Linked DNA regions of Sus scrofa. The main gene of each other region encodes a partner of the protein of the gene in region 2 in a complex. Links are inferred from orthologs where the notes say so. Each region holds a gene or a part of one and is shown on either strand. Other genes may lie near its edges. The genes, in order: POLR2C and GTF2H4.

Evidence for each region.
Region 1: GTF2H4 (region 2) and POLR2C share a complex: the UniProt entries of both Homo sapiens proteins name them as parts of the TBP-based Pol II pre-initiation complex. The link is inferred for Sus scrofa from reciprocal best matches to the Homo sapiens genes GTF2H4 and POLR2C.

The regions. Positions count from the first base shown.
Region 1 is NC_010448.4:19,392,274-19,407,362, reverse strand, and holds POLR2C (DNA-directed RNA polymerase II subunit RPB3), read right to left. Parts: upstream 13,795-15,089; 5' UTR 13,696-13,794; coding exon 13,610-13,695; intron 13,427-13,609; coding exon 13,377-13,426; intron 12,176-13,376; coding exon 12,107-12,175; intron 11,957-12,106; coding exon 11,904-11,956; intron 9,128-11,903; coding exon 8,999-9,127; intron 8,537-8,998; coding exon 8,485-8,536; intron 8,353-8,484; coding exon 8,184-8,352; intron 8,026-8,183; coding exon 7,951-8,025; intron 7,203-7,950; coding exon 7,058-7,202; 3' UTR 6,244-7,057; downstream 1-6,243. Other genes in the region: DOK4 (docking protein 4), read left to right, coding at 2,594-2,701, 2,859-2,973, 3,228-3,347, 3,446-3,635, 4,281-4,419, 4,579-4,702, 4,816-4,934. UniProt on the Homo sapiens protein: Core component of RNA polymerase II (Pol II), a DNA-dependent RNA polymerase which synthesizes mRNA precursors and many functional non-coding RNAs using the four ribonucleoside triphosphates as substrates.
Region 2 is NC_010449.5:23,391,741-23,408,263, reverse strand, and holds GTF2H4 (general transcription factor IIH subunit 4), read right to left. Parts: upstream 8,960-16,523; coding exon 8,820-8,959; intron 8,558-8,819; coding exon 8,453-8,557; intron 8,115-8,452; coding exon 7,983-8,114; intron 7,708-7,982; coding exon 7,611-7,707; intron 7,520-7,610; coding exon 7,431-7,519; intron 7,221-7,430; coding exon 7,109-7,220; intron 6,980-7,108; coding exon 6,911-6,979; intron 6,428-6,910; coding exon 6,344-6,427; intron 6,087-6,343; coding exon 5,954-6,086; intron 5,789-5,953; coding exon 5,658-5,788; intron 5,036-5,657; coding exon 4,988-5,035; intron 4,833-4,987; coding exon 4,754-4,832; intron 4,309-4,753; coding exon 4,136-4,308; downstream 1-4,135. Other genes in the region: VARS2 (valine--tRNA ligase, mitochondrial), read right to left, coding at 160-271, 961-1,080, 1,228-1,309, 1,921-2,018, 2,110-2,176, 2,280-2,401, 2,610-2,710, 2,826-2,907 and 1 more. UniProt on the Homo sapiens protein: Component of the general transcription and DNA repair factor IIH (TFIIH) core complex, which is involved in general and transcription-coupled nucleotide excision repair (NER) of damaged DNA and, when complexed to CAK, in RNA transcription by RNA polymerase II.

The DNA.
Region 1 (15,089 bases), on a different chromosome or scaffold from region 2:
GTAGGAAGGAAACCCCCGGGACTGAGGCTGCCCAAGTCTGGGTGCCCTGCCCTGCCCTTCTTCCCCTCCCCCACGGCCTCGATGGGGTGGGGGTGGGGTCTGACTGCTCCAGGCGCCCTGGCTCATCTGAGTGGAGTCGGGGAGGAGCAGGGCCCTGATACTGGGCTTCCCTGGCTGGGTGGACCAGGTAGAGCCAGACTGGCCTTGGAGCAGGGTGGTTCTCACCCCTCCTTGTCCTCCTGTGGCCCCCACCTCCAGGGTCCTAGAGAAGGGCTCTTCCGTCCCCCATCTCAGGCAGCAGTTGAGCTGGTGGGCATGTTTGGGGTCTTACCTGGATGTGGATTGTATCCCAGCCTGGGCCCTGGTGGTCATCTGCCACTTTGCTCTTGCCCCGAGACAGGGGGTGCCCACTAGGAGCACCGAAGAAGGAGAAAAGCTAAGGCTGAGATGGGAGGCCAGGGGACGGGGGCCTGGCTGCTAGTGTGGCTCCTCCTTCCTGAGGGCCCAGACTTATCAGGTCCTCAGGGGCCAGCTGGTCTGAGGCCCTGTCCAGAGCAGAGCTTTCCAGGAAGGCAGGCCACTTGGGGCCGCCACTTGGTCTCAGAACCAGGCCCATTCCTCGGGAGACCTGGGCACAGCCAGGGGGGCGTTGGGGAGCTAGAGCATGGCCAGGCCCAGTCTGGAGTGGCCCCCCACTCGGGGAATTCACTGCAGACCTGCTGTGAGGGGCTGTGGCCACCCAGCCATTCTTGTCTCTGCACACAGAGGTGAGGGGGAAGGGCAGAAGGCGACAGGGAGCAGACTCCTACCTGCCAGGGCTTTCCTCCCGGCAGAGCTGTGCCAGAGTGTTTCTGAAGCGCTGATCAAAGACCTGGGAGAAGTGGGGAAGGAGGGCTCTTGAGCACAGTGGCTCCCTGGGGCTGTGTGTGTGTGTGTGTGTGTGTGTGTGTGTGTGTGTGTGTGTGTATCCATCCATCCTGTAACCAGGCAACCAGAGTGCTCAGGCCCCCAGGCCTCCTGCCGCTGCAGGCTGCACAGAGCCCAGGCTGCCAGGGCATGCATTCATTCATTGGGCCGTTCATTCACGGTCCCTTCGCATGATCATTCACTTGTTCGGCAGAGCTGTCAGCGAGGCTACTGCGATGTGAGGATTCTGAGAATAAAATGCAGTTTCTGCCCTAAAGGAGCGCCTCAGCTGGAAGCTGAGGTCTGCTGGGGTTTAAGTGGATAGGCCAGGGGCTGAGCCAGGGTCACAGCGACGGGGACAGACATGGCTTCTAGAGTCTCAGGAGCCAGAAATAGCCTGGTTGTGAGTAGCTTCTTAAGATGGGGACTGCCTGGGCTAACCATACCCTGGGACCCTGCCTGAGCCATCAGGGGTACAGGGCAGGGGAGGGGGCTTGGCCCGGAGGCCCCTTCACATCCTCTGCTCTGGGCCCCACCTCAGTCTCCCTGCCGTTTGCCAGGGAGAGGAGCGTGGCGATTCCTAGGGAATGGCTGGGCCAGGCCTCTGGAATGCCTGCCGAAAGAGCAGGCACACCCCAGCCAGGCTTTGGGCTGGGAGAGAGCCTGAGGTGGGAGGGAGGGGGCTGTGGGGGCTGTGCTAGGAGGAAATCAGCAGCCCAGGCAGGTGGCTCGGGCCGCCTCTGAGGGGGTCTGAGGAGCCAGCTTGCCCCTGTAGCCTTGGAGAGCAGTTGGCTCCCTGCTCCCTGGCTCCTTACTCCTCAGATAGACTCCTGAGCTATAGAGAATTTAGGCAGATTTAGGCACAGGGTCACTGGCAATGGTTGGGGCAAGGCACCATGCTTTGGGATAACCCCAGGTTCTTGGTTCTGCTCCTTCACCTCTGAGAGCCTCTGGTTTCCCAGCTGGAACAAGGGGCCTTCCCCTGGTTCCCTCAACTCCAGGGTTGGTCAGAGAATGAAGAGGGTGAGCGAAAGGTCCTAGAGACAAGAGGGGGTGTCTCCCACATCAAGAGCCTGCCTCCAGCTGCAAGAATAAGGGCTGCAGTGACATGCAGGCTGGGAGCAGGCGAGGGCCTAAACCCTGTCCCCAGGACACTGCCTGTGTCATGGGTGCTCCTGGAGCCCTGGGCAGAACCTTAGCACATGGGCTCCTAGGACAGCCCTGGATCTAGGCAGCCTGTTTTAAATAGCAGCTCTACCATTCATTAGCTGTTACTCAACTTTTGGGTGCCTCAGTTCCCCGGTCTATAAAGTGGAGATAATAATAGAACCGACATCAATAGTGACCCTGAGATTAACTGCAGAGAGTGTTAACAAAAAGTACAAATAGGAAGCACTTGATAAATGCTAGCTGCTTATATTGAGCCGAGTCGAGCTCATAGTAAACAGTAACTCAGGAGCGCCCTTTATGGAACAGGCTTTCAGAACGAGCCAAGAAATGACTACCTGTTCAATCTGGGGAGGGGCCTCCTTGCCTGGCTGGTGTCCCTGCTCCCCAGTCTTCTGGGCCCGGCTCCCTGGAAGGCTGTGCGCTACTGCCCCCAGTGGTAGGCAGGGGTAACTGCAGGGCCACTTGGGCTGGGTGGGAGTGGTCCGGGGTCTGATCCCCCTGCCATCTTGCCCCACAGATCTATCGGAGGTGCTGGCTGGTGTTCCGGAAATCCTCCAGCAAGGGGCCCCAGCGGCTGGAGAAGTATCCAGATGAGAAGTCAGTGTGCCTCCGAGGCTGCCCCAAGGTTAGGGGCCTGGGCCCTAGCTCCCCCAACCTGTAAGCAGCGACAATTTGTTTAGAGTCCTGAGAGCCAAGGGGACCCTCCTGGGGGTGGCAGAGCTGTGGGGGATATAGCGGGAGGCTCTCCAGCCTGGCTGAGTCCCTTATGGATGCTGTCCCAGGTGACGGAGATCAGCAATGTCAAGTGTGTCACACGGCTCCCCAAGGAGACCAAGAGACAGGCGGTGGCCATCATATTCACTGATGACTCGGCACGTACCTTCACCTGCGACTCAGGTGAGGGATTGGGGCTGCAGGCTGGGGGCTGGTCAAGGGCCAGTTGGTAGGAGGCAGAGCAGGGCTAGCCCTGCGGGTGTGACGCGTGGGGTGGAGGGCGCCATTGGAGCAGGCCCCAGACCGAGGTGGGCAGACACGCAGAATCCCCTGGCCTTGCCCGCTGCCTTACACGGCGGGAGAACTCCAGCCGAACCACATGGGGTGGGAGCGGCGGGGCCCTGAGCTGGCCCGTGTTGAGATCCCATGTTCTCCAGAGCTGGAGGCAGAGGAGTGGTACAAGACACTCTCGGTGGAGTGTCTGGGATCGAGGCTCAACGACATCAGTCTGGGAGAGCCGGACCTCCTGGCCCCGGGAGTGCAGTGTGAGCAGACAGGTGAGGCCTGGCGCTGGCGTGGGGTTGGGGGGTGGGGAGAGGCCGGGGAGAGGCCTCCCCTGAGAAAGCTCCAGGCCCACTCGGCCACTCCCATCCAGACCGCTTCAACGTCTTCCTGCTGCCCTGCCCCAACCTGGACGTGTATGGCGAGTGCAAGCTGCAGATCACCCACGAGAACATCTACCTCTGGGACATACACAACCCCCGCGTGAAGCTCGTCTCGTGGCCCCTCTGCTCACTGCGCCGCTACGGCCGGGATGCCACACGCTTTACCTTCGAGGCTGGCCGGTAGGACTCTCTGCCTCCCCGCCATCAAACCATGGCTCTGACAGTGGCTGCCATCCACTTGTGTTGGGCCCTGTATTGGAAGCTTAAGGTATTTATCAGCATAGCGTGCTGAGAGGAAACAGAATATCCCCGTTTTCCAAGTGAAGGGATGGAGGTCAAGTGAAGCTGTTTAGCAGGTCAGGCTGCTCGGGTTCCGGTCCGATGCCGGCATTGGCATTGACTAGCTCTGGGACAGTGGATCTGAGTCTCAATTTCCTCATCTGTCACATAGGGCATAGCAGGTCCTCCCTCCTAGGCTGGGTCAAGTATGGTTAAGGGTTGGGTATAGCGTGACCTCTCAAGCCAGCCTGCCTGGACTGAAATTCTGTGTAATTCTCTGGGTCACTCTGGTTGTTACTTACCCTCTGAATGCCTCCGTTTCCTCATCTGTAAAATGGTCGAAGTGGATTAATTCTAGTAAAGCATTTAGACTACCACCTGGCACACAGAAAACATTCAGCACATTTGAGCTGGGGGGTCAGATCCTCAGATGACAGCCCTGCCTGTTCCCACCGGGGCCTGGGGCGCAGAAGAGCCTGACTGGGCGTCTGCACACATACGGGGAAGTCCCCACCACCTCGCCTTCTGTGCTACTTGTGTCCCTAGGATGTGTGACGCTGGGGAAGGGCTCTACACCTTCCAGACGCAGGAGGGAGAACAGATTTACCAGCGGGTCCACAGTGCCACCCTGGCCATTGCCGAGCAGCACAAGCGGGTCCTGCTGGAGATGGAAAAGAACGTGAGGGTGAGGTGGTGTGCTCAGCACGGGAAGGGGGAGCTGGTGGGCGGGCAGGCTGGCGGCAGAGCATGCCAGCAGCCCCCACCCATCAGGTGTGTGGAGGAGGCAGGCAGGGTCTTGGGCCGCCTGCTCTGGCTTAGCCACTGCCCCTTCTCTGCCCCACAGCTGCTCAACAAGGGCACTGAACATTACTCATACCCCTGCACGCCCACTACCATGCTGCCCCGCAGTGCCTACTGGCACCACATCACGGGTTCCCAGAACATCGCCGAGGCCTCCAGCTATGCCGGTGAGTCACTGCTGTGCCCCACACCCACCGGCCAGAGGCTCTGCGGAGGACAGGGCGGGTCCGCAGGGCCTTCTGTCCTGGGATCACGTCTTCAACCTACCCTGTGTCCATAGGTGAAGCGTATGGGGCAGCCCAGGCCAGCTCAGAAACGGACCTCCTCAACAGATTCATCCTGCTCAAGCCAAAGCCCAGCCAGGGGGACAGCAGCGAGGCCAAGACCCCATCCCAGTGACCGCAGAGCGGCGCGCACGGATGACTGCTGGGGCCCCCTGCTGCGGGGCCACTTACCGCGTATTGTGGACGCCTGGAGGGGCTGTTGGCCAAGAGCCTGAAGGAAGGAAGCAAGCTGTCCCTTCTTTGTCCCCAAGGGTGAGACTGGACCAAGGCAAAGGGCTGGCCACGCCACCTGAGCATGTGTGAGGGGCTGGAGCTACCACAGGACTGTATACTGTTAATGATTTTAATATATATGGCTTATGACATATTCTATATTAATAAGATTTCCCCTCTCTGTCCCTCCCTGCCACCACATACATTTTTTAAGCCCATGACCAAACCCCAGTCAAGGCTGTTTTTCAATGTGAACAGCTATTTCCTGTCCCCCAAGGTACCAGCCCTCCTGAGCTGCCAGGGCTAGAGGAGGCAGCCAAGCCGCACTCCCGGCTGGTGCTCTGGCTGCTGGCTTCTCCCAAGCAGGCCAGGGTGGAGACAGCACGCGGCTTCTTAGTCCCTCTGGGCCCACAGAGTGGCACAGGAAGGATCCGAACATACATTGTGCCACTTGGCAGCCTTGCACTTGGAGTTTTAAGCAGAGGTGACATCTCGTTGACACCTCAGGTGAAAATCTGGTTTAAAATGGTTTCTGCCCAGGCTTCTTCCTGCTTAGTAGGCTGAGAAGACACCCTGGGGTTGGGGGTGCTGGTTACCTCAGCCGGGGGAGGATGGCCGGACCCGAGCGTGTCCCTGCCCCCGGGCCAGGCCAGCAGGGAAGGCCAAGCTGCAGGAGGACTGCTGAGGGAGCACCCCGCAGCCCTCTCACTGACTGGGGTGGGCAGGGCCCCTGCAGGGGGAGCCCCTCTGCCCGTCTGGCTCCCGGCCAGCCAGAAGTACTCAGAAACCAAGACCTTCCCACTTCCTCCTCCCCACATGGTGCTGAGGCTCCCTGCTGAAATGCAATTAAAGCAATTGATTTTCTAGTGCTGGTATTTATTGACTACCGTGCAGAAGGGCTATCTTTCTACTCACATCAAACCTGCGGTTGCGTGTGTGTTGAGTTTTTTGTTTTTAATATTTTAGGACTCTGATTTGTGAGAATAGACCTTGTAAATAACCACTGTTCAAGTCGTGGCAGGAGGAGGATAAAGCAAAAGGCCCCCTCCGCCAGAACCCTGGAGCCAGGGAGGTGGCCACAGCCAGCTCAGCTTTGGACCTGACCCAGGGACCCACCACCCAGAGGAGTAAGCTAGCCTGAAGGGAGCCCCGAGGCCACGGAGAGGGAGGCGGAGCTGACTGGCTCACAGGTAGTGGCACGATGACGCATGAAGGAGATGACGTTGTGCTCTTTATTGCCAAAAATAAAAACTTTTAAAAGACAACTCATACACATCCCTTCCTTTCTGTACTAGGTCTCTGATTTTCTCCAGGCTTCTCTGGCCAGGCTGCCTAATTAACTGCTTTGGGTATGTTCCTACCTCTAAGGCTGAGCCAGGGGCAAGGCCAACCTTTCCTTAAGTCCCCTGCCCTCCTGACAAATAAATGGGCCACTGTTGTTAAGTTCATAACTGATGGGGAGAGGGGGACAGCCTGGGTCTAACAGTGTTCTCAAAGGGTCTCAAGTTAGGGACTCCTGGGAATATGAGAGAAGTGCCAGTACGCGGGTCAGGGCCGGGACTGGAAGGACCTGCAGGCGGCCTGAGAAAGAATTCTAGAGTCAATCCTAACACAGAAGCCTGAGGTACAAGAGCGAAATCCCAATTTGTGGACAGGAAGGATTCAAACTAAAGCACTGAACTGATCAGAAAAGGAGAGTCCAGCTCAGTGGTTCTCAACCGGGGGACGCCAGGGCCCCTGGAGGCACATCCGGCGTTGTGGAGAGCACCACTGCCCATCAGCAGGCAGGGCCACGGATGCTCAATGGATGTAGGAGACTTTTCCGCCTCCGACAGCAGTGGCACCCCCGGCAACCTGCGACGGTGCCAGCCTGGGATGGCCTGCCCTCCCCCACCGCTACCTTTCTAGCCAGTACTGCAGGTGTGCCAGGAAGCTTGAGCAACAGCTGTCCAGTCCCCAGGAGCAAAAGTCTCAGGAGAGGCCTGAAATTCAAGAGCTGTTTCTGCTGAGACAGGTGAGCTGCGGCTAGTTTATGGTCAGGACGTCACTCTGGATCTCATGGCTTAATTGGGTCTGTAAGTCACTCAGTTTCTTCTTTAATCCAGAAAGTGCTGAGAGGACAATGGTTTCAGGGCGCAGAGAGCCACAAGATTCCACGTTGTAGTAAAACCTGAGAGGCGAGAGTCCGGTCAGAGGCCTCCGTGAGGCAGCCTGGCCGCCCCCACCCTGGCCACAGGCCCACCCCTTCCCTCCCTTCTGAGTCCTGACTCCTTTCCCCCAGACGAACTCCAGCCCCTGGACTGCCTCCCTCTAACCCCCTACAAACAGAGGTCCCAGGGCACTTTGCAGGGCCTCAGGGAGGCCATAGCTACCTGGAAAGGATACTGTGAGCCTCTCAAAGCTCGTGTGTTTGCTATACATATTCCACACTGAGGGCAGCCAGAAGATCAAGGAAGCAGCGTCACCTGCTCCAGCATTTTCGTACTTTTTACTCTAAGCCTTTGGTCAGATTTGGGACTTAAGTATTTTGTTTTGGGCCACTCCCCACCATATGTGGAAGATCCCAGGCCAGGGACTGAACCTGCGCCACAGCAGTGACCCAAGCCGCTGTCATGGCAGTGCTGGATCTTTAACCTGCTGTGTCCCAAGAGAACTCCCAAGGGCCATAGGTTTTTGATCCTAGGCTGATCTTTCTTTGGGTGTGGAAAATCAGAATAGGGACAGTCTGAATAACAGAAGGGCCCCCCTTTCTCACGGTGACCGCGAGGGGGATGATAAACTGCCTGGGATGTACACAGAGTGGGGTTCAGCAGTGAGCAGCCCCTCCTCAGCTGGCGGGAATGAGAAGGAAGCGAAGGGGCCTCCGGCACTCAAGAGCCTGCACCACGCTACCTTCAGGTGCCAAGCCAGGGACTCACCTCTCTGGCTTGCCGTTGGGGTCGTAGGGCGCCTGTGACTCATCCTCATCCAGCTCCGAGTACTCACTCTTTGGCCTGAGGTCAGACATAGATCAGCACAGGGTTGCTGCCGCAGCCGCTTTCGGGGTGCCCAGGTCTCATGGTGAGGTGCCCCACCTCAGTCGCCAGGAGCCACTTCCACACCCGCCCAACCCTGACCTGCCTGCCTCTCCTCACTCCCACCAGGAACATACCATTCCTCCGGCTTGGGGTACACCGTGTGCCTCAGGGCATTGTCGGGATCATATTCAAAAGCCACCCCTGCAGTGGGGTTCCACTTGGCGTGTTCCTTGCCAAAGCCCTTTTTGGCGTAGGCGCGAAGTCTCAGCTCCTGGCCCTTCCTCAGCTTGACGATGAGGATGTCTGCGGGGAGAGGGGAGAGGTGGGCGAGGGCCAGCAGAGGCCTGGTTCTCCGCAGTTTGACCCGCGCCGCCACTGCAGGACCAGGCAGCACGAGAGGCTGGGTCTGGTCTCTGCCTCTCTTGGGCCCCTTACCGTCCTGCTCCACGTAGTCACTGGGGTCATTATCTCGGTTCCGGGATGTCACCTGCAGGGAACCCAAACAGGCATTATTAGCTGCTGCTCAATGTCCCCATGCACCTCTGCTGGTTGGGGATTTGGCACTGCCATGAGCTGCGGTGCAGGTCACAGATGCAGCTCGGATCCCGCGTTGCTGTGGCTATGGTGTAGGCCAGCGGCTACAGCTCCGATTCGACCCCTGGACTGGAAACCTCAACATGCCTCGGGTGCAGCCCTAAAAAGAGAAAAGACAAAAAACAAAACAGTACCACAGCCTTCAAAGGGTCCTTGGGAGACAGGGGGCCCAGAGCACCAACAATGGCTCTGCCCACCCTGGCAAGACTCCAGAATCAGCACTTCCAGGCACCAGGCTGAGGTTAAGGCAGAGGGCACACAGGGAAAGCCAGTGTTTTATAAGGAGCCACCCGAGTCTGGTCCACTCGGAGCCAAGAGAAGAGCAAAGGCCCTGGGCAGGGAGGATGTCGCTGACCGGAATGACCCGGGGGCTGTTGGAGATGAGGTCTCGGGATGTGACGTGACGCGTCTGGTCTTCGTTGCACCGCACATCGAGGGTGAACTCCACCGAGCACTCGGGGCAGAACTCCTCACAAGTGCAGTCCTGAGGCAGGAAGAGAGGCAGGAGTGAGTCTAGAGAGATGGCGAATCCCGGCCTGGCTCCCTGCTTCTAACACCCCGTCCCTTAAGGTCCTTCCCTGGGAGAGGGCAGAGCACAGCCTCCAGGCTCCCGTGGGCTGTGTCCATCCCACACGCCATTCTCGGGCTGCTCAAGGGCAGGCTCGTCCCAGCTCAGAGACAGCTGTGTCTACCCCCCGCGCAACACCAGGCCACCACCAGGAGATGCACTAACATCTCACCCTACCCTCAGAGCACTCTTCTTCTAGAACCAAGGCACTGAGAGAGGAGGCAGCTTTCATCCTGCACAGCTCTGTGTCCCATAAGCTAAGTGACTGGCTTAGGAAAGCCATCACCATTTAAAAGGAAATAATCCAGGGAACAAGAAAAAATCTATCTTTTAAGTTCCAGACTACAGACCTTCTCTAAAAAAAAAGTCACAGGTAATGTATGAATTTATGGAAATTTTCATACATTCACAGAAGCAGAGAAGACTTAAGAGACTGTCACTATGTAACCATCACTCAGCTTCATTAACTTTCAAGTGTGCCATTCTTTACACTGATTCTTAAACATTCCCGTGTTAGAGACGAGCTGCTACCATTTAACCTCAGGCAAAAAGAGTTACTAGAATGTAATCAAGCAAACCTTCCCACTTCCTACCAGTGAAGAAAATCCAACCTACTTTTTGTTGTTTTCAAGACAATGAGGAAGAACTAGGGCCCACACCTGGTCAATTTGCAATCACACACTGCTGAGGCAGGAAGACAGCCTAGGCCCTCAAGACTGCATCATTCTTAGGAATATGAAATTAAAAGTATTCAATCTCAAAAAAAAAAAAAGTATAATAAAAAAAGGAGTCTGAGAGATCAAGAGAATAAAAAGGTATAATAACTAAATGCAATCTTGATTGGATCACAGACCCACAGACAAAAACCAGTTAGGACATTTTGAGGATAACTTGGAAAATCTGAATTTGGACTGTATATTGATAGTACAAATCAATGCTAGATTTCTCTTTTTTTTGGCTTTTTAGGGCCGCACCCGTGGCGGAAGTTTCCAGGCTAGGGGTTGAAGTGGAGCTACAGCTGCTGGTTTACACCACAGCCACAGCAGCTCAGAATCCATGTCAGTGACCTACACCACAGCTCACAGCAACACCAGATCCTTAACCCACTGAGCGAGGCCAGGGATGGAACTGTGTCCTCATGGATACTGGTCAGGCTGTCGCAAGGGAACTTCCAACGCTAAATTTCTTAGGCATGATGACAGTGTGCCTACACAGGAAAATACCTTATTTTTAGGACATGAATGTTGATGTAATTAGGGGAAAAGTGTCACGATATCTGCAACATTCTCTCAGAAGAAGAGAAAAAATAACATATGAAGAATAAAGCAAGTAGCAAAATATTGACAACTGGAAATTATAGGTGAAAAGAGAATAAGTAGTCTATCTTCAACCTTTCTATAGCTTTTCAGAAACAAACAAAAAAACCCCATACCATCTTTGTTCAGTAAATGTAATACTACAAAAAATGAAATTCAATGGAATTTGTAGGTCATAAGGGGATTCATATCTTTATATAAGATGTTGACAAATTGCTCTTCAATTGGTTGTACAAATGTCCCCACCAGTACATGTGATGCTCTACTTCTTAAAAACAAAAATCTGGAGATGTGAAGCAACAAAATGGTGTGAAAAATGTGACAAGTGCTTTGGAGGGAGCATGACTATGTTACATTTGCTTCACACTCTGCTGTGTGTTTGAATATTTAAAAATACATAGGAGATCCCCTCGTGGCTCAGTGGTTAATGAATCCGACTAGGAACCATGAGGTTGCAAGTTTGATCCCTGGCCTTGCTCAGGGGGTTAAGGATCCGGCGTTGCCATGAGCTATGGTGTAGGTCGCAGACGCAGCTCGGATCCTGTGTTGCTGTGGCTGTGGTGTAGGCCAGCGGCTACAGCTCTGACTAGACCCCTAGCCTGGGAACCTCCATGTTCCACAGGAGCAGCCCTAGAAAAGGCAAAAAGACAAAAAAAAAAAAAAAAAAAAACAACCATAAATTTACAAAATTAGCCACCAAAAAAAAAAAAAAAAAAAAAACCACACCCCTGGGAATACTAGAATTGCCATCAAGAAGGAAGAGTCTGTTACCTAATGCAGCTCTGGTGAAAAGATGCAGGTAACCTAATCCTTTCCTGCCCTCTCCCTAGTTCTAAGCCTGTTATCACATCACAGGAGCAGAAACAGGGCTCTAGAGGAAGGGAGCCATGTTTAATTAGCAAAACCTAGGAGTAAGGCATAAAGCTGGCAGACATCAGCACCCCAGTCCCTCGTGTGCTCCTCTGTGGGACAGTTCTCACCCCCTCTGCTCCCTGTCCACACCCACTAACCTTCTGCTGCCGCCCTTTGGCCTCCTAAGACCCTGCCCCTGGGAAGAGATGCTGTGGAAAGCAGAATGTGAACAGATCAGACGCTGAGGAGGAACAGCTCCACCTGTTGTGTATAAGTGGGCATCCAGGTGTATATCCACTCTTGTGTGGCGGGCTCTCAAAACCCCTTGATGCCCCTGGAGCCTCGTCAATCTGAGGCCCCATGAGATTTTAAGAACATAGCCTGCCCTGGGCTCTGGACAACATCTCCACACTGTCTTTCTAAAAGCTGCAAGCAAGGTGTCAGGAAAAATCCCTTTGAGAACGTGAGTTCCCTGCTTCTCTCGATTCCTGACCCCCGACCTCCCAAGCAATCACACAGCATACCCGGGAGTACTGCAGCTTGTCCACAATGTCGTCACTAGTGAGGGGGATTAATCCTGGAAGACAGAGAGAAGCAGTTTAAACAAGGTCAAGGGGCCAAGCCAAAGGAAAAGCCAGCAGTCCCCTTGGGAGTGAGGAGACTTCCTCCCCTGAAACCGGCAGAGCCCCACTGCCCTGCCCTTTAACTTCCCAAACCCAGCACTCACCAAGCCTGTGAGCAATGAACTCGTCGTGAAGGACTGAGGAATTGGCATCAATCTGAACCCAGTCAATTGCTAAAGAAATAAAGGAAGCAGAGCAGATATGCAGTTTAGCCACCAAATTCACCTGAAGGCTTAAGAACAGTGGTTCTTCAGATTTAAAAATTATCTAATGCTTACCACATTGCAGACACCAAGGCCAGGCTGCCAGAGACTGATTCTGCAGCTCTAGAGGGGGGCCCAGGAAGCTACACTTTAACAAGAACCACATGCCAACATGCTCAGGTGGATCTGATACAGGGAGTACCCTACACCACCCAGAAAAACAGCGACTTGTAGACTACTACAGAAAGGTGTTTCTCTGAGTTGACTATTTCTGTGGGAAGCACTCTAGTCTACCATTCATGCCATCACCAAATCCAAGAACACAAACTATTTGAACACCTCAAAGTTAAACAAATCTCACAAAAACAACACAGACTTATGATCCATAGTGCTTTTTCTCCCCCTCTGATTTTTAGGGCCACCTCTGCAGCATATGGAAGTTCCCAGGCTAGGGGTTGAATCAGAGCTACAGCTGCCAGCCTATGCCACAGTCACAGCTACTCAGGATCCGAGCCCTGTCTGAGACCTACACCACAGCTCACCGAAATGCCAGATCCCCGACCCACTGATGGAGGCCAGGGATCGAACCCACAACCTCATGGTTACTAGTCGGAATCGTCTCCACAGCACCACGACGGGAACCCCATATCACAATTTATGGTATAATGACCAGACTGATTGCATTCCCAGTGCCTCGCACCACTGCCTGGTACTTATAAGCTCTGTAAACTCAGTGGATGGAACAGATTCATAAAAAGATATTTACCGGTACTGAGCACTCACTAAATACAAGGCAATTAATAGAGATTACCCCACTTAATCCTTGACGTCACCCTGATAACTACTATTAGCGTCCGAATGTTAAGAGGAAATTGCAGCACAGTTTGATAACTTGCCTAAGTTTCACAAAGACAGTATTCGACCTCAAGTCTGCAAACTCCTGAACCTGTGCTCTTTACCTCGAAGAGTGGAACTGAGTGGCCCGTGGGAGCCAGGGAAGGGGCCACAGTGGCCCTGGGGCAAGAGCACGGGGTCCGATCAAGTCTCCAGCATTGCTGTTTTCGCAGCGCCCCCACCCTGGGCCCCAAACAAGGCTGGAGTCAGGAACGCCAAGGTATGGGGAGGTGGGGGAACTGGTGGCCCTGACCACGAGGAGGCGAGGGCCGCTTACCTATTATGGGCACCTCAGCGATGAAGACCCTCCGGATAGAATTCGCCACCCTAAGGAATGAAAACCAAGCGGCGCGTGGGCACCGCAGACTCGACAGCCGGCCCCGCGCCCCACGGCTCCCAAAGCAAAAGCCCCGGCTCCGGGGCCAGTTCAAGAAAGACAGACCCCCGCCCCTCCAGAGCCGAGGCCCCGGGCACTCTGAAGCCGCCAGCCCCTTCCCTCAGCACCCTTACGCCAGGTCCGTATTCTCGATAATGAACTTGACATTCTCGTCGGTGAGCTCGGTGATCCGCACGGTTGGCTGGTTGGCATACGGCATCGCGCCAGACTGCTCGCGGGGCCTTGGGGGTCGGTTCTGCTGCTCGCGCCCCTGCGCCTGCGCCTGCGCCTGCGCCTGCGCCTACGCCGCCACCGGAAGTCGTTCAGCGCGGTCCCGCCGCTTCCGCAGAGACACGCTCAGAGCGCCGCCTGCTGCTCGGAGGCCAGGCTGCTCCGACGTTTTCTACCCTCAACCTACTTCAAAAGGCACCAGGTTCAACCATTTAGAAGGCGACTTAGTAAAACATGCACACGCCCTTGACTCCACAGAAACACTTCTAGAAATTCATATGAGAAGTGCGTGCAGTTGTAAGCAAAGATACATGTACAAGGATGTTCATTGCAGCACTATAACAAAAAACGATAAATAAAACGGATTGCCCACTGACACAGACCTGGTTAAATATACATAGGAATACTATAACAGTGTTTTTGGGGTAGGTTGTTTGGGGGTTTTGGGGGGTTTTGGGGGGGTAGGGGGGGTTGGCATGTGAAAGTTCCTGGGCCAGGGATCAAACCCATGACACAGCAGCAACCTGAGCCACTGCACTGACAACAAAAGGCCTTTAACTATATATATTTTTTTCTTTCTCCTTTTTAGGGGTGCACCTATGGCACATGGAAGTTTCCGAGCTAGGGGTTGAATTGGCACTGCAGCTGCCAGCCTATGCCACAACCATAGCAACACCGGATACTTAACCCACCCACGGAGGCCAGGAATCAAACCTGAGTCCTCATGGATACTAGTCAGGTTCTTAACCCACTGAGCCACAATGGGAACTCCCAACAATAATGTCTTTTAATGAGGTTTGTACACTGATGGAGGAACAAAAAGACAGTCAGTCCTCCCTATCCAAGGGTTCTTCAAGAAGACTGAAAGAAAAAAAAAAGTCCATAGAGTTCCAAAAAAGCAAAACTTAAAAATTTGCTCACACCCAGCAAATATTTACATAACATTAAACATTGTATTAAGTACTATAAGCAATCTAGAGATGATTTGAATTATGTGGATGTGTGTGGATTATATGCAAATCTTATGCCATTTTATATAAAAGAATTGAGCATCCAGATTTTGAGAGGGGACGGGGGAGTTCTAGAACCAAAAGCCCAAAAGACTGAGGGATGACAATACTTTACATGTACTTAGCAAAATTTGCTTGAGTGATAGGTTTATACCCTTTCCCTTCCACTCCTAAGTCTGGATCATGCACTTTTGACACTGCAGGAAGATGCAGTTCTCTTCAACCTATCACCTCCAGTTCTGCGGAGGTGGGTGGGTTATGATCTCTTCATCTCTGCATCTCCAGTGCCTGGCAGTGTGTGTCACCCAGGGGCAATGTACGACAAAGAATTATGCAAGTCCCCTAAACAGTCCCCCTAGAGAGAAGTTTGAAT
Region 2 (16,523 bases):
GAATGCCCATAGGAGGCACACAGGACCAGGGTTCCTTAGGCCCCACCCACCAGACCATGTGGGAAAAGGGCCGGTGGGTTTCCTCCCATCAGCCCAACACCCTTGAGAAAACAGAGGAAGCAGAGGTAAGCAGGTGACCCTTCCCAGAACTACCCTCACCAGGCTCTCCATCCACGGGGAAGGCCACAGAAACGAGGAGGCCGAAAGATACGGGGGTGGGGCAGCCAGGCAGCCGAAGCTCCGTGCGGCCAGACAGGGGCCAGCTCTCCACCTAGACACATGGAAGCAGCGGGGTCAGAGAGCGGCCTTTCTGCAAGGCTCACGCCTGGCTCTCCACCTCCCTGCAACCCCCCAGAAGCCACTCAGAGGATTCGGGAGTCACCTTCCTCTCCTCACCTAATTCCTTTTTTTTTTTTTCTCTTTCTTAGGGCTGTACCCGCGGCTTATGGAGGTTCCCAGTCTAGGGGTCAAATCAGAGCTGCAGCTGCCAGTCTACACCACAGCCACAGCAACGAGGGATCTGAGCTGTGGCTGCAACCTACACCACAGCTCATAGCAACGCCAGATCCTTAACCTACTGAGCGAGGCCAGAGATCGAACCCGCATCCTCATGGATTCTAGTCGGGTTCATTATCGCTGAACCGCAATAAGAATTCTCTCCTCACCTAATCCTTGTGCAGTCACATTTACTAAGTATTTAAACCATGCACCGGTATTGTGCCAACCCCTTCCAGGAGTCATCATGTAATTCTTAGAACATCCCCATGAGACAGGCATTTCCATCACCCCTAATTTATAGACTGAGGACACTGAGACTGATAGAGGCTAACAGCCAGCCGGGAGTCACACAGCTGGGAGGTGGTGGGACTCAGATGTGAATCCAGACCACCTGGCTCCAGAGTCCAAGCTCTGCCCCTGCCTCGGCACTCTCACAAACCCAGTTCTCTTTCTCTGCCTCACCTCAATATCTGAGATGGCAGATCGTAAGGCGCAAGACCAGTTGACAAGCTGCCGGCTCCGGTACAACAGCCCAGCCTTGTAGAGCCGCACAAAAGCTTCCGTCACAGCCACTGAGGAGCCCTAGAATGACCTGAGTGTCCACATCAGTGTCCACAATGGCCCCACTCAAGCTGCGGTACCCTCCCCACCCCAACACACACAGCAGCCCGCCTCCCTATAGAGATCTCTAAACACCTCCCTGACACCCACAGGGACTGTGGCACTCACAGCATCCATGGTAAAACATTCTCGGTCCCAGTCCAGGGAGGCCCCCAGCACGCGGAGCTGCTGACAGATCTCTCCACCCTTCCTATGCCGAGAGATTTTGGGCAGCAAACATGCCCCAAACACCAACTACACACCAAGCCCAGTGAAACCCCACTTATGCCGGGTGCTGGAGTGAGTTTGGCATTGATCTAGCCTCTCGAAGCCAATGGAGACAGATAAACCCAGAATGGGGCCTTCTAGGACAATGAAAGAAGCATAAAAGTTCTGCGGTAACAGGGGAAGAAGCAGCTGATTTGTGAGAAACCCAAAGAAGCTTTACAGAGAAAATGGCATGTGATAACAGACCTGGAAGAAAGAGGGTAATTTCAAGTGGATGGGAAGTGGGAATAAGTGAAGAGGAGAGACGATGAAATCTAAACACAGGAAACAGGATAAAGGGAGAAGAAAAATTCACACATATATACATGCACATACATAAATACTTTTCAGTGTATACAACGTGCACGCGCACGCACACACACACACACACACCCCAAGCTCGGAGACCCCACCAAATGCTCCCAGAGCTTACGTCACCATGGGAAGTTAGGACTGAATGAGAAGAGCCTCGCCTACGCGTTAGGGGAGAGGGGCTGGAAAGCCAGGACCCAAACCTGTGGCATTGGCCCCTCCCGCCCCGCCCACCATACTCACTCCTCCTTCCACTTCCACACCTCCCTAAGGAAGTCTTCTCGGCTCAGCTCACGTCTCCTCAGCCCTCGTTCCTTCCACAGCTTTTTCTCCACCACAGCCTACAGTAAGATGAGGGCGCAGAGAATCGGGTCACTTTGGGGGAAGAAAGCTCTTTCACCCAAGAAAAGGGAAAAGTGGCAAAAAACATACTTGAGTAGCAATCCCTGCATGATCTGAGCCAGGGACCCACAGCACCCGATCCCCACGCATCCGGTGCCTGCAAAAGAAATAACCTCACATGAATCCCTGGCCTTACCTGTTTATCCTTCGCACACTTTCTCCTTCCCCTCCAGAACTCAAGTAGCCCATTCTCCTCTCACCAGCGCACGAGGGCATCCTGTATGGCCACCGTCAGGGCGTGCCCGATGTGCAGGGAGCCAGTGACGTTAGGGGGTGGGATACACATGGAAAAGGTCTCCCCTGTAGCCTGAGGCAGCCTGGTCTAGAAGCAAGGAGAAAAGTCAGAGAGGGCTGGATGTTCCCTGGAGAAATAGCACCCTCTGGTGTCTGCAAGGCAGAAAGAAATGCAGAAAAAATAAGCAAATTAATAAGGAAGGGAAAAACCTACAGAGAACAATTGTGGAGACACCAACTCCACCAGCCATTTCGCCTTGTGGACCACTTAGCACTCCTCCCTGCTGGGTACTAACCTGATATTCTGGTTTGAAGAAGCCCTCTCGCACCCACCATGGGTACCAGGCAGCCTCAACATACCGGGGGCTGTATGCAGGAGGCAGGGGCCGGGAGACATCTATGGCGACAGACAAGAGCTCCACTAACTCCTGGATTTTGTTCCCAGGTTGCATTTCAGCAAACCAAAGAGGCGATAAAATTGTGAGGGAAGAGGCCTTCCAGTTCTTAATTACCTTTCTTTTCACCGTGTTCCGTGGGGATTTCATACAACACTATCTCCTTAGGAGTCCAGGCCTTAGTGGATTCTGCAGGTGGCTGGGGAGAGAAGCGACCAGAAAAGGGGTTGCAACTCCAGTGTACCCCAGGCATAAGGAATCCAGCCAGTCTCTCCTCCAGCTCCCTCCCAAGCCCCCTCAGAGAACCAAGGACACGCTATCTGACTCCTAACCTTGCCCTTTGCTGCTATGCCAGTCTCCAGCGCCGCCTGCTTCTCTCGCAGGCGCTTCTGTTTGGCTTCACGGTTTCTCCGTGAGATGGGTGATCCATGGGGCTCTGACTGAGTGGAAAGGGAATGGGACCTGGGGAAGCACCGTGTGGGCCTCAGTCCCCTAAGCGGTGGTCGAAAGGAAGCCAGAGGCAAGTGAGGCATCAGGAGTGCTTGCAAAGGGGCCAGGATCTGTTCCAGACAGAGCACATTAGAAGGTATGGGTGTGAGAAAAGGTCACACCTCCTGTTACACCCTATTCCTTACTTCCCGTCTCCTTGGTCTGTCAAATATCGACCCCACCCCACATAACCCATTCCTCCGTGAGGACTAGTGTGCATGGTGTCGACAGGGTCCTGGAGTCATAGAGATCAAGGCTCTTCTGGGACAGGGTCGGAGTCTCAGGCCTTCAACCTGTTTATCTGCGACGTGGGGGAAACAGAGATGCGGACAGAGGCAGGGAAAGGATTCAGGGATTCGCGGAGTTGATAGACATCGGCGTTCCCAAGAGCCGGCAAGGAGTCCCTCCAGGGTCACTGCGAACTCTGTCCTCCCACGAGGCCGTCCGCACTGCCCCCGGCCCAGCTCACTGCCCTGCCTTCCCGCCAGTCACCGCGTGGGCCCCGGCCCCGCAGCGCTTCCCACTCCTACGCGCGCGCTCACCGGGTGGGCCGGCTGCTATCCCAGGGCGCCCCGCGGCAGGGGCGGCAGAGGCTGGGGCTCCGAAGAAGCCGAAGCCGGAACGCGATCCGCAAGCCGCGCGGCGCAGGGAGGCGGGGCCCTGATGGGGCGCAGGCGCGGCCGCTGGCCTCGGCCCCACCTCCTCCCCCTCCCAGTCCAATGGCTGCCGACGAGGAGAAGAGAGGAGCGCGTCTTCCGCGAAGAGACGCCTCCCGGCTAAGCGCCCCGGGTCGCGTGGTTCATTTTCACAATTTTATTAAACAAGAAGAGTCTTGACGTGTGAATAAAAAATACCCCTGAGTTCTGAGGCGGCGTCCGCCTCCAAGCGGCCCGCCGTCACGGTACTGTCACAGTACTGTCCCGCCCGGTCCCGCAGTCTCAAGAGCTGTGCTTCTGCCGCTTCCAGAAGCGCTTGACGTCGCTGTGTCCCGCCGGGGTCACCACCATGAGCCGCTTTGCCGAGTTCTCGAACACTAGGACGCCCAGCTCCCGCGCGTGGGCCAGCAGCAGCTCAAAGTCCACTTGTGACAGGAACTGGTTATAGAGGACGCCTGGGGTCCGCAGGTCAGGAGCGGCGACGAGAGAGAGGTGAGAGCATGAGGTGAGGCGCGGGGCCCAGAGTCTGGGGCTGCCTCAGGGCAGCGGCCTGGGCTTGCCCCCCGCATTTACAAAGGAATCCTGTTTGCCTGTTCTAGGGCTCATCCTAACTCTAGTGTGATCCAGCCATATTCAGAAAGTCAATATAATACAATAAGAAAACCCATTAATGCTTATCAAACCAGGTATATTACTATGAATTATCCTTCGCCATTTCCCTCTTCTAGCTAATCCACATTGCACCGATTTGAAGCAGTTCATTTACTGCTGTCGACTCACCCCATAATAAACCCATGCAGTAAACACTGAGAAATGCATGAATAGCTTTTTCAGCTCATCAAGACTGAATTGTCCTTCCTCCGGCCAATGACCTAGAATCAACCACCAGAAGACACTCACCTTCAGTGAACCGTAGTCTGTCCCTTTCTAGCTCCCACAACCGAATCTGGTCTGTGATGGTGGGAGGCAGCACAGGTGTCTGCAGGGGCAAGGGATGGCTGTACAATCCAGGAATACCAGACAATCCCAACCCTCCTCTCTCCCCAGATCTGGATGCCCCCCTTCTCTTTTCCATCACTTCATCACGAGGTGCCAAGGGCTGTCAGCCTCCAGCAGCTTGGTACTTGTTCGTACCTGTTTAAGCATCACTGGGTGGGCCCTTGTCCTTAGGAAATGGATGATCTAGGAAAACAGACAAGAATTGGGATCAAGGGCTTCAAAATTAGGAAGGCTGGAAAGCTACCCAAGCTGTCACTCATAAAAACTCACAGGCACGTGCCTACCATTATTTCCACCTGTCCCAGTTCAGCTGTTGTCCCAAGCTGCTGTCCCCACTGGTGATGTCTGCTACTCTTCTGACACATTTGCCCTTTCCAAGGTATTTTTTTTTCTTTACAACAACATCATTTTTTGCACTCTTACTGCATGGCAGGCTCTGAGCCAAATGTTTTACCTCTTTCACTGAATCCTCCCAACAACCCTATGAGGTGAAAGCTGTCATTTCCATTTTCCAGTTGAGGAAACTGAGGCTCATAGAAGTGAAACTATGCCATTTATGCAACTAGGAAGTAGGGATGCTGAAACACAAGTCCCAAGATATAGCTTCTCCCTCCTCGTGTCTTCCCCTTGAGGGTCTACCTAGTCCCACATCAAGAGCCTTGACTTCTCACGTGCCTAATGCTCAAACACAGACCACTTACCACCACCTATTGTAACAGACCCCATGCTAACCTTCCATAAGGTGGCATACTCCATAGCCCAAATGCAACCTGTCTACCACCCCCATCTTCCCCAAGTGGGGTACCTGTTGGGCTGTGATGCCACTGGCAATGGCCTGCTGCACACTCTCCCGGGTCACCTGTGCCACCACCATGTTGGGGAAGCGATAGAGCATCTCAGAGAAAAGGGCAATAAGGGCGATCTGCAGCTCCGACTCTGACCGGAGATGGGAAGAGAGGATTAGGAGGCTCCTCCGTACTCAGACTCCCTCAAGCCTCCGAGAGCTCTGAACCACCAAGTAAACATCAAAATAAACTGGCATTCCCTCCCCTCCCCTCCCCCTGCCAGCCCGCTATCCAGGGGTCCTCTGTGCAGCCTCACCCGTGTAGGCGTACAGTCGATAATTGGTTTCCACAACGATGAAACCTGGCTGATGCACAGTGCCCCCAGCCCCAGAAACACCTGATGAGAGATTGATGGCCAGGCGCGTGGGGTAGTAACGCCGAGACTTCCTCTGGAAAGGAGGAGAGAAAAGCAATAAGCCCTCTCTCAGGGTCAGTGCCCTTCATCTTCCTCCAGATACATCAGATCCCTCCCAATGCACAGAACTTCAGCTCCCAACATCTCTCCCCCTCCCCCGAGGGACCCCAGTATTCTGTCCTGGCAACTGTCCCCTGCTTCTGCCTTCGGAGACCCCTGTTCCTTTTGAAAGGCCAAGGCAACATACCACCCTGCCTCTTCCCTAAAAGCCATGTATCTGGGCGCTCATACCTTCCTCTGGAAAACAAGGCCCAACTCACGGAGATGTTGCAGGAAGTTCAACAGAGAATCACTCATACCTTCCACAGAGTAATCCTGGGGAAGAGAGGTAGCCGGCTGGGGTCCAAAACCCAGCCCATTCTCCCTTCCCCAACCCCATATGCTCCTTCCCACTTTTCCCATCCCTGGTGTTCTTCGTTTTTTTGTTTTTTGCTTTTGTCTTTTTGTCTTTCTAGGGTCGCACGGGTGGCATATGTAGGTTCCCAGGCTAGGGGTCCAATCAGAGCTGCAGCTGCTGGCCTACACCATAGCCACAGCAACGCGGCATCCGAGCCGCGTCTGCAACCTACACCACAGCTCACAGCAACACGGGATCCTTAACCCACTGAGCGAGGTCAGGGATTGAACCTGCGTCCTCATGGATGCTAATTGGGTTGTTAACCGCTGAGCCACGACGGGAACTCCTCTTTGTTCATTCTTCTCTTTCACTCTATTGACCCCTAACCTCATTTCCTTTTCCATCTCTCTACCCTTCATCTTGCCCACCCAAGCCTCTACTAGCTCCAGCCCCCTGCTTACCTTGCCCAGAGTAGAGAAGCTGAGCTGGAAGAGGAAGGAGAGAATCTCCACTAGGTCCATGCCCCGACTCTAAGGAGGAACGGGCAGATGTGGGGAGGAAATGAGAGAAAACCGGGGAACAGAGTCTACAGGCAGCAGGCCCTCAGTGGGTCCTGGGAAAAGCAGAGCATGCCAGCAGGCAGCCCCCGACCTCCTCACCTGGGCTGTCTGCAGGTACTGCAACATAAAGTACCAGAGCTGGGCCGGGGTGTCCAACAACAGGAATTGGAAGCCCGCAGAGGTAATGCAAGGCGGCTCTCCAGGTTCAGCACTACAGAAAGGGACCATGGCAGAGGTTTGCTGAGAAAGGCCACCATTCCACTTGTCCGCTCACATTTTTCTTGGTTTATCTCTGGCCATGCTCTACGCAGCTCTCCTTTTGCAGCCAACCCCCTCCAATCCTGATCCGACCCAAACACTCAGGTTAGCAGGGACTCGAGGAGACGGCAAAACAGAGCTGTTGTACCTCTGTCTTCCTCACCTCTTCATGAGCCCAGCCTGGCTGAGGAGCTGAGCCAAGTCCTGGCTGACGGCTGCACTGGGGGAGCCCACCATGAAGTGCAGGACCACCTGAGGAACAGAAGAGACCAGAGAGACAGATGCCTCTAAGGGCCCTGGGATGGGAGCACAAGCAGACACACACAGAGTCCCAAGTCCTTACCTCCCATCGCTCCTCAGCATACTTGTCAAGCGAGGGCACATCCCGGGCATGCTTGTCTGGTCCCAGCTGACTTGTGTCATCAGACCAGGCCTTGCCCCTATGCCAGTACGGCCGAGAGTAAGGAACCCTGCCTGTGTTCCCTGCCCACCACCCCCCTTCCCTCTTTCTACCCTCATCTCCAGGGGCCACGAGTGGGAGACATATCCTATACCACGTAGCAAAGTCTGGTCCAACTTATTCCTAAAGGAGCTCCCAAAGGTGGAGCCCACAAGGTTCCAGAGAGGTCCCCCAGGGCCTCTTAATAAGTAGTTTAATGAGCAGTTTAATCACTAGTTCCCCTGCCTGGCCTAGGAAAAGATGGAAGTGACATACCCACCCAGAAGGGCAATGCGGAGGTTTTGGCGGAAGATGGGGTTGAGGATGAGGCCCTGGAGGCCACCAGGGAGCAGCTGGGTGTGCCAGATACGGAGGCCGCTCAGCAGCCCCGTGCTTTCCTCCTGGGCTCTGGAACAGAAGAGGAGAGGTGAGGGGAGTGTCCAGAGAACAAAAGGAAGGAAGCCCATAAAGACCACCATTTCTGCCTTTTCTGAACTGGTGGTCCTTGGAACACTGTTTCACAGAGTGAAATTGGTATCTTCTTAAGGCAAATTTCTTTACTGCAGCACCTACCAGAACCTTGTTATAGACATCACAACTCTCCAAGAGGCAAAATGGAGTATGCGTAGTTTCCCAAACTTGTTTAATTACAAGTTTAGTGGTGTTCCCTTGAATATACTCCAGCAGTTTGGGAAACCTGGCTGTTGAGAAATTTGTATCTGGCTGAAAGTGCAGCAGAGACTCACTTGCTGAATTCCTTCTTCACCCACAAGGCTACGGCAGCTTGTGGCAGAGGCTGCTCCAGAAAGAGCATCCGCATCACCCAGTTCTTAGCTAAAGATGGGAGCTCCCTATAAGGGGGCAGAGGGAAAACGTTAATATCAGAAACTGCCTCAGATCTGCATCCCTGCCCTCAAATGCCTCTCAAACATCTCATCTCACCCCTGGCCCTTTTACCAGTCTTCCTGCCCCCACATCTCCATCTGTTTGGGCCTGACACATTTTAGTCTCCAAGCCCCCCAGAGCTAAGCTTCTACCCATGATAACTTATTGCAGTCTGCAGGCCTCATTACATTTCCCTACTATGGTCCCTGCCATGAACGGGGTCCTCACCTGAAGACAGCCAAACAGGTGGCAGGGTGCCCATACAATCGGTCCAATACAACAGGGCTCAGGCCCCCTAAGAATTCCTGCAGATTCCTGCATTGTAGGTGTACTCGATTCAGTCCACCCCTTGAAGGGGTGCTCTCCATCACCTGAGAGATGCAAGTGTTAGTGGACCTCCGAAATCCATGCCAGTGTCACCCCCTCACCGTTCTCATTCCAATTCCAGATCCACTGGCCCCTGCAAAAATTCATCTTTTCTACAGTTTCCTTTTTCACGTCACTCATCTCCTCTTGTTTCTCCCAAACCTGACCACCCTCCTCTTCTTTCCTCCCTCCTCACTGCACTCCTGATCTCAACTCAAGTCTTCTCCAATTTCTAAGTGAAAGAATTGTCAGCTGTTCCATATTTGCAAAAATATTTTGTATTTCAGTGACTTATCTACACCCTAGGCAAAGAAAGTTTTCTGAGCCCAGTTCTCTCTCCCCTCGACCTCTCCTGGTCTGATCAGCCTATAAACTTCAATCTGCCCATTCTCTCCATCTATTTCTTGACCCCACTCCTCGTGCTGGGAACGGCAATAATTACCTTTCCCCTCCAAGTCTCATAAATCTAATTCCACCTCTTTCCTCTTCCCGTCCCTAAGACTACTTCACTCCATTCACCCTGACTCACACCGTATGATCTCCTCCTAACTCGTCCCCTACTTTCTTCCCAATGCTCGTCTCTCATCAACTCTCTCCTTCTTATACCTCCCGCCACCCCTTCTCTCCCAGCCCCCTTACCACTCAGTGTCGACCCCCTCCTCGTGCACTCCGAGTCTTAAGCCGTCGCTTAATCGGAGCCAGTGTCTCGCATTAGCTCTCAGGAATAGGGGAAAGAATGGCGGAAAGTGAGCGAAAAATATGGGGAGGGGGACGAAGGATTTCACCCACGCAAGTCCAGAGTGGAGGATTCAGAAGAGGAGTGGAGAGGTAGGGAGGAGAAGAACCGGCGCTGCACTCGCTCGCCACAGGGCATGCTGGGAATTGGAGTCTTGTCCTTCCCAGCCCGGGAGCCAGCTGAAGCGCGTCCGACTACAACTCCCAAAAGGCACTGCGGGGAGCCAAGCGGAGAGAGGCTGGCTTTTACGTAAGAGAGCCGGAGGCTCCGGAGGTCTGGCTGTTCGTTCCGCATCGCTCTCCACCCACTCGGCTAACGGCGAGTCTAACCAACCCGAGATCATGTGGGGACCCTGAGAATAGAAGTTCCCCGAGGTCTTCCTATCCGAGGTGCGGAAACCACTGGGTGGTGAGGAGCTCAGGTTCAGAGATGCAGAAACCTGGGTTCCTTGAGCTCAGTTGCTCCTCGTAAAACTGGAATAATGCACTTTCCAGAGCATTTTCTCGAATTAGGAGTTAACTCCATCCGGTGTGCCTTCCTTGGCAAGTAAATACTCAGTAAATCTTAATTGTCACGTCCTCCATGCTTCCATCCACCTCCCCGCCCCCCCCCGCCCCCTGTTAGAAGATCCTAATAAATGCAGTTTAAAAAAACAAACAATTGTTTGGTCTGATTTGATATATTAAACTACTGCTTGTTAAGGGAAGGGAACGTCTTAAGCCAGAGCCAGATCTGTAAGTTTCCCCAAATTCCTTTAAGACAAGTTTTATTATTCCCACTTTCCAGACTAGAGGACAGAAACTCAATGAGATTAAGAAATTTGTCCATGATCAGACAGCCAGAAACTGCCTAAACTGGGATTTGAGGTACATTTGCAAGTTACCAGGAATGAAAACGGTAAGAACTAAGATTTCTTTATATTTTGTAGCCTACCCATGCTTGTTTTGTTGTTCCGTAAAATCCTCAAAAGAATGGCACAAAACTGACAAACCTTCTTTATGGCAAAATGTTAAGTAAGATTGAACAAATTACAGTCTGGGAAGAAATGTTTGGTAAAATAGATAAAATACAAAGCAGTAAGAAAAAGAACACAATAGAAATATTAAGTTTAATAACAGGCAAAAAAAATACAAGTGCCATGTAACCAAATAAAGAAACTCTCAACTTCTCAACTTCATTGTTTTTTTTTCACATCTTATTTATTTATTTTTATTTTTTTATTTTTATTTTTTTTTGTCTTTTTGCTATTTCGTGGGACGCTCTCGCGGCATATGGAGGTTCCCAGGCTAGGGGTCGAATCAGAGCTATAGCTGCCAGCCTATGCCAGAGCCACAGCAACGCAGGATCTGAGCCACGTCTGCGACCTACACCACAGCTCACGGCAATGCCGGATCGTTAACCCACTGAGCAAGGGCAGGGATCGAACCCACAACCTCATGGTTCCTAGTCGGATTCGTTAACCACTGCGCCACGATGGGAACTCCTATATTTATTTTTTTTATTACTCAAATGAATTTATCACATCTGTAGTTGTATAATGATTGTAACAATTTGATTTCCCACCCCCAAACTGTCTCCTCCAGAGACCATAAGTTTTTCAATGTCTGTGAGTCAGCATCTGTTCAAAGTTCAGTCTGTCCTTTTTTCAGATTCCACATGTCAGTGAAAGCATTTGATGTTGGTGTCTCATTGTATGGCTGACTTCACTTAGCATGATAGTTTCTAGGTCCATTCATGTTGCAAAAAATGCTGATATTTCATTCTTTTTAATGGCTGAGTAATATTCCACTGTGTATATGTACCACATCTTCTTGATCCCCTCCTCTGTCGATGGACATTTAGGTTGTTTCCATGTCTTGGCTATTGCAAATAGTGTTGCAATGAACTCTGGAGTACATGTGTCTTTGCGAGTCGTGGTTTTCTCTGGATAGATGCCCAGGAGTGGGATTGCTGGATCAAATGGTAGTTCTATGTTTAGTTTTCTGAGGAATCTCCATACTGCTTTCCACAGTGGTTGCACCAATTTACAATCCCACCAACAGTGTACTAGTGTTCCTTTTCCTCCACACCCTCTCCAGCACTTATTGTTTGTAGACTTTTGGATGATGGCCATTCTGGCTGGTGTCAGGTGGTACCTCAGAGTGGTTTTGATTTGCATCTCTCTAATAATGAGTGATGTTGAACATCTTTTCATGTGTTTCTTGGCCATCTGTATGTCTTCTTTGGAGAACTGTCTGTTTAGATCTTCTGCCCATTTTTGGATGGGGTGGTTTGTTTTTTTGGTATGGAGCTGCAGAAGGTGTTTATAAATTTTGGAGATTAGTCCCTTGTCAGTGGATTCACTTGCAAAGATTTTCTCCCATTCTGTGGGTTGTCTTTTTGTGTTGTTTAGGGTTTCCTTTGCTGTGCAGAAACTTTGAAGTTTGATTAGGTCCCATTTGTTTATTTTTGTTTTTGTTGTCAATACTCTGATAGGTGGATCTGAGAAGATGTTGATGTCATTTATGTCAGAGAGTGTTTGGCCTATGTCTTCCTCTAGGAGTTTGATAGTGTCTGGTCTTATATCTAGGTCTTTAATCCATTTTGAGTTTATTTTTGTGTATGGTGTTAGGGAGTTTTCTAATTTCATTCTTTTCCATGTGGCTGTCCAGTTTTCCCAGCACCTCTCAACTTCATTCTTAATTAAGGAAAAGTAAATTAAAGAAACAGTAGGAGTTCCCATCGTGGCGCAGTGGTTAACGAATCCGACTAGGAACCATGAGGTTGCGGGTTCGATCACTGGCCTTGCTCAGTGGGTTAAGGATCCAGCATTGCCGTGAGCTGTGGTGTAGGTTGCAGACATGGCTCGGATCCCATGTTGCTGTGGCTGTGGTGCAGCTACAGCTCCAATTGGACCCCTAGCCTGGGAACCTCCATATGCCGCGAGAGCAGCCCAAGAAAAGGCAAAAAGATGAAAGAAAGAAAGAAAGAAAGAAAGAAAGAAAGAAAGAAAGAGTAAAATACCCAATTAACAAATAATAGTAAGGGGAGTTCCTGTCGTAGCTCAGTGGTTAGTGAACCCAACTAGCATCCATGAGGACGCAGGTTCAATCCCTGGCTTTGCTCAGCAGATTAAGGATTTGGCATTGCCTTGAGCTGTGGTGTAGGTTGCATATGCCACAGTGTGGGCCTAAAAAGACCAAAAACAAAACAAAACAAAACAAAACAAAATAGAAGAACCCATTAATAGTAACGACTGACAGCTTCAATGTTGGCCTCAGTATATGCACACATACAACCATACTCATACACTTTTGTGGAAGGGTAACATAGGCATGCTTTTTATTTATTTATTTATTTTCGCTTTTTAGGGCCACACCTGTGGCATATGGAGGTTCCCAGGCTAGGGGTCGAATCGAAGCTGTAGCCGCAGGGCTACACCACAGCCACAGCAACACCAGATCCAAGCTGCATCTGGAGCTGTAGTCGCAGGGCTACACCACAGCCACAGCAACACCAGATCCAAGCTGCATCTGTGACCTACACCAGAGTTCATGGCAATGCCAGATCCTTAACCCACTGAGTAAGGCCACGGATCGGACCCGTAACCTCATGGTTCATAGACAGATTCGCTTCTGCTGTGCCATGATGCACATTTTTCTAACGGTGTGTACCAGTGCTTTTAATGTGATTCCCTTTGACCTAGCAACTCCCCCATTAGGAACATAGCATGTTGAAATTCTCCCACATGGGTATGGAGATATACATGCAAAGATGTTTATTGAAGTGTGTTTGTTGTTGTAGTATGAGAACAATGTGGTAACTGTCCAAATGTCTGTGACTGGGAGTTGGTTAGATAAAATGTGGGTCATTGCAATGTAGAATACTGGCCAACACTTGGAGAGGAAGTCACTGTATGCATACTGGCCTGAGCTATGTACCACCTATCATGGGGGAGAAAGGCAGATTACAAAATGGCATACCTAGTGCAATTCTATCTTTGTAAATAAGAAGCTTTTGTAGTTTTCTTCTGGCACAGCAGTTTAAGGATCCAGCATTGTCACTGCAGTAGCTTGGGTAGCTGCTGTGGCAAAGATTCAGTCCTTGCCCTGGGAACGTCCACATGCCCCAGGTGCAGCCAAAAAAAAAGAAAGTTTTTGTGTGCATGTAAAACTGAAATAGGCTATATGCTTCATTTTTAATTTTTTTTTTATATATAATGACTTATTTTTTTATTATAGTTGGTTTACAGGGTTTTTTTTTACTTTTTTATTTTATTTTTTTATATAATGATTTTCGTATGCTTCGTTTTAACCAGAGCAAGCAAAGGGGAGCTGGGCAGGCAGAGTCACAGTTCCCTACAATGCAGGGAAAACTAAGGCCACACTATCCAGAACAGAAGCTGTTAGTCACCTATGGCTATTTAAATGGAAACTAACTAAGGAGTTCCCATTGGGGCTGAGTGGTAATAAACCTGACTAGTATCCATGGGGTTGCAGGTTCAATCCCTGCCCTTACTCCAGCATTGCCCTGAACTGTGGTGTAGGTCGCAGACTCAGATCCCACATGGCTGTGGCTGTGGTGTAGACTGGCAGCAACAGTTCCGATTTGACCCCTAGCCTGGAAACTTCCGTATGCCATGGGTTCGGCCCTAAAATCAAAAGAAAAAGAAAAAATTAAGTAAAATAAAAATTTAAATTCAGGTCCTGTGTCGCATAGTCCCATTTCAGATGCTGAATAGCCACATGTGGCTAGTGGCTCTGTTGGACAGTAAAGATGTAGACCAGTTCCATGATCGCAGAGTTCTCTTAAAGAGCCCTGCTCCAAGGGATGCAAGGTGTCCGATGTCAGGCTGAGTGCAGGCGGAGTTCCTGGAACTGACCTTCAGGAAGAAAATCAGTCTGGGCTCCTCATTGCTGAGATTGTGGAACAAGCTCCCTAACATAGGGCTATCCAGCATGTGCTTGAAAACTTCCTACGATGGGTAATGGAGAGCCCTTCCCCCTCCGCCTCTCATGTAGCATTCTGGAGAGAAAGAACAAAGAGCCAGGAGCTGAAGGCCTGTTTTCCACCCACTTCTCTGTTTCCTGGCTCTGCTGCCTTGGGCAGGATGCTAACCTCAGAGAGGTTTTCTTCTCTGTGAAATAGCAATAATTTCTTGTGTTAAATAAGATATAATATGTAATAAGTATGGTACCTGACTCATAGAGGGTGCTCAGTAAATAGTATCATCGTTATTTTCTAAGCAAACAAAAAACATGTAAATCGTATCATAGTGAGTGCTACAAAGAAGAGAATCATGTGCTCTGGGAGCATCAGGAAGGGATTTGACCTGTCAGGCAAGTCAGGAAAGATTGCTGAAGGACAAGCAGGAGTTTGTTGACAAAGGCTGTTCCAAATGGAGGAACAGCAGGCTTCAAGGGCCATGTGGCAGGAAGGACTGGGTCCATTGGAGGAACGGAAAGACCAGTGGTGCAGTAAGGGGAGCAGGGGCGGGGGCAAACTTGGCCAAGAAGATTTTGTCCTTTATTCTAAGGTCAATGGGAAGCCACTCAAAGGTGTGAAATAAAGGAATGGTGTCAGATTTGTGTGTTTCAAGACCACACTGGCTATAAGGTGAAAACAAACCAGGGAGGACCAGGAACAGAACCTGGGAGACTACTGCAGTGGTCCAGGCAAAAAGGAGACAGAATTTAGGAATTTAAGGGAAATTTGGGAAGCAAAGTCAACAAAGCTTGGTGATAGACTGGACCTGAGAGGTGAGAATAAGGGAAAAGGGGTGTCAAGGATGATCCCCAGGTTTCTGGATTGTGCATCTGAACTGCCGTTCACTGAGTCAGAGAAGCATGGGGAAGCAGCGGGTTTGAACATGCTGAGACTGAAATTCAAATGAACTCTTAAGTGGTTGCATAGGTCTAGAGCTTAAGAGCTCTGAGTGCAGAGATTTGGGAGTTCTTGCTTTGCTGCTGTGGCTTCTTTTGCTCACCATTCTGGGTTCTAGCCACTAAACTCCTGTCCTGTCAGTGCTTGTCTTAAATTGTGGGTCAGTGGTCTGACTTATGTAGGTTCGAGCAGGACTCAGATCTATGACCCAGGGTCTTTATTTCCCACTAACTGCCATCAAAATGGGTCTGCCTTTTCTAATACTTGCAACTGATTTTTTTTTTCTTTCCAACCAAATTTGAACTCTTTGCTAAATGTTCTCTTGGTGGTTTTGGCTCATCCTTCCAAGCCTCCGAGATGATCTAGTAGGCTTTTGGTTCTGGTTCCCAAACAATTCACACCTATTGGGTTATTATTGGCACAGCAGACCAGGCTAATCAAGAAGTTTTCCACCTAGGACATACAGACCCTGGGGTGCAGGGAGGAAGTTCCTAGAACTTGCGCAAGAAAAAAAAAAAAACTACACCTCTTTTCAGTAACCCCTAAGTGAAATTTAGCATTTCCTCCAAGTAGGAACATGAGCAAAATCCCCAGTACTGTTGGCAGTACCTGTGACTTCTCACTAATAGACATCACAGTTATTTCATATCCTATACAGTTATAGAAATCTCAGAACATTGTTGCTCACTATTTGAAAAATGTCAATAATTATTGCACCTGCTGCTAGGTTTTGTTATTATACATATTTAAAAGAAGCACATTTGTTACTGTATCATTTTAAAAAACATTTTGCTAAACCTTCTCAATTGATTTCTTTGATTACATATGTAATAACTTTTTAATGGGCTTTAAAGCATAATTCTGAGGAGGAATCAACAGACCTCTCCAGACTGCCAGAGGGGTCCATAGGTCAGACAGTGTTAAGCTCCCCCAGGCCTCCTGCAGGGTTCCCCACAGGCAGTGGCCTG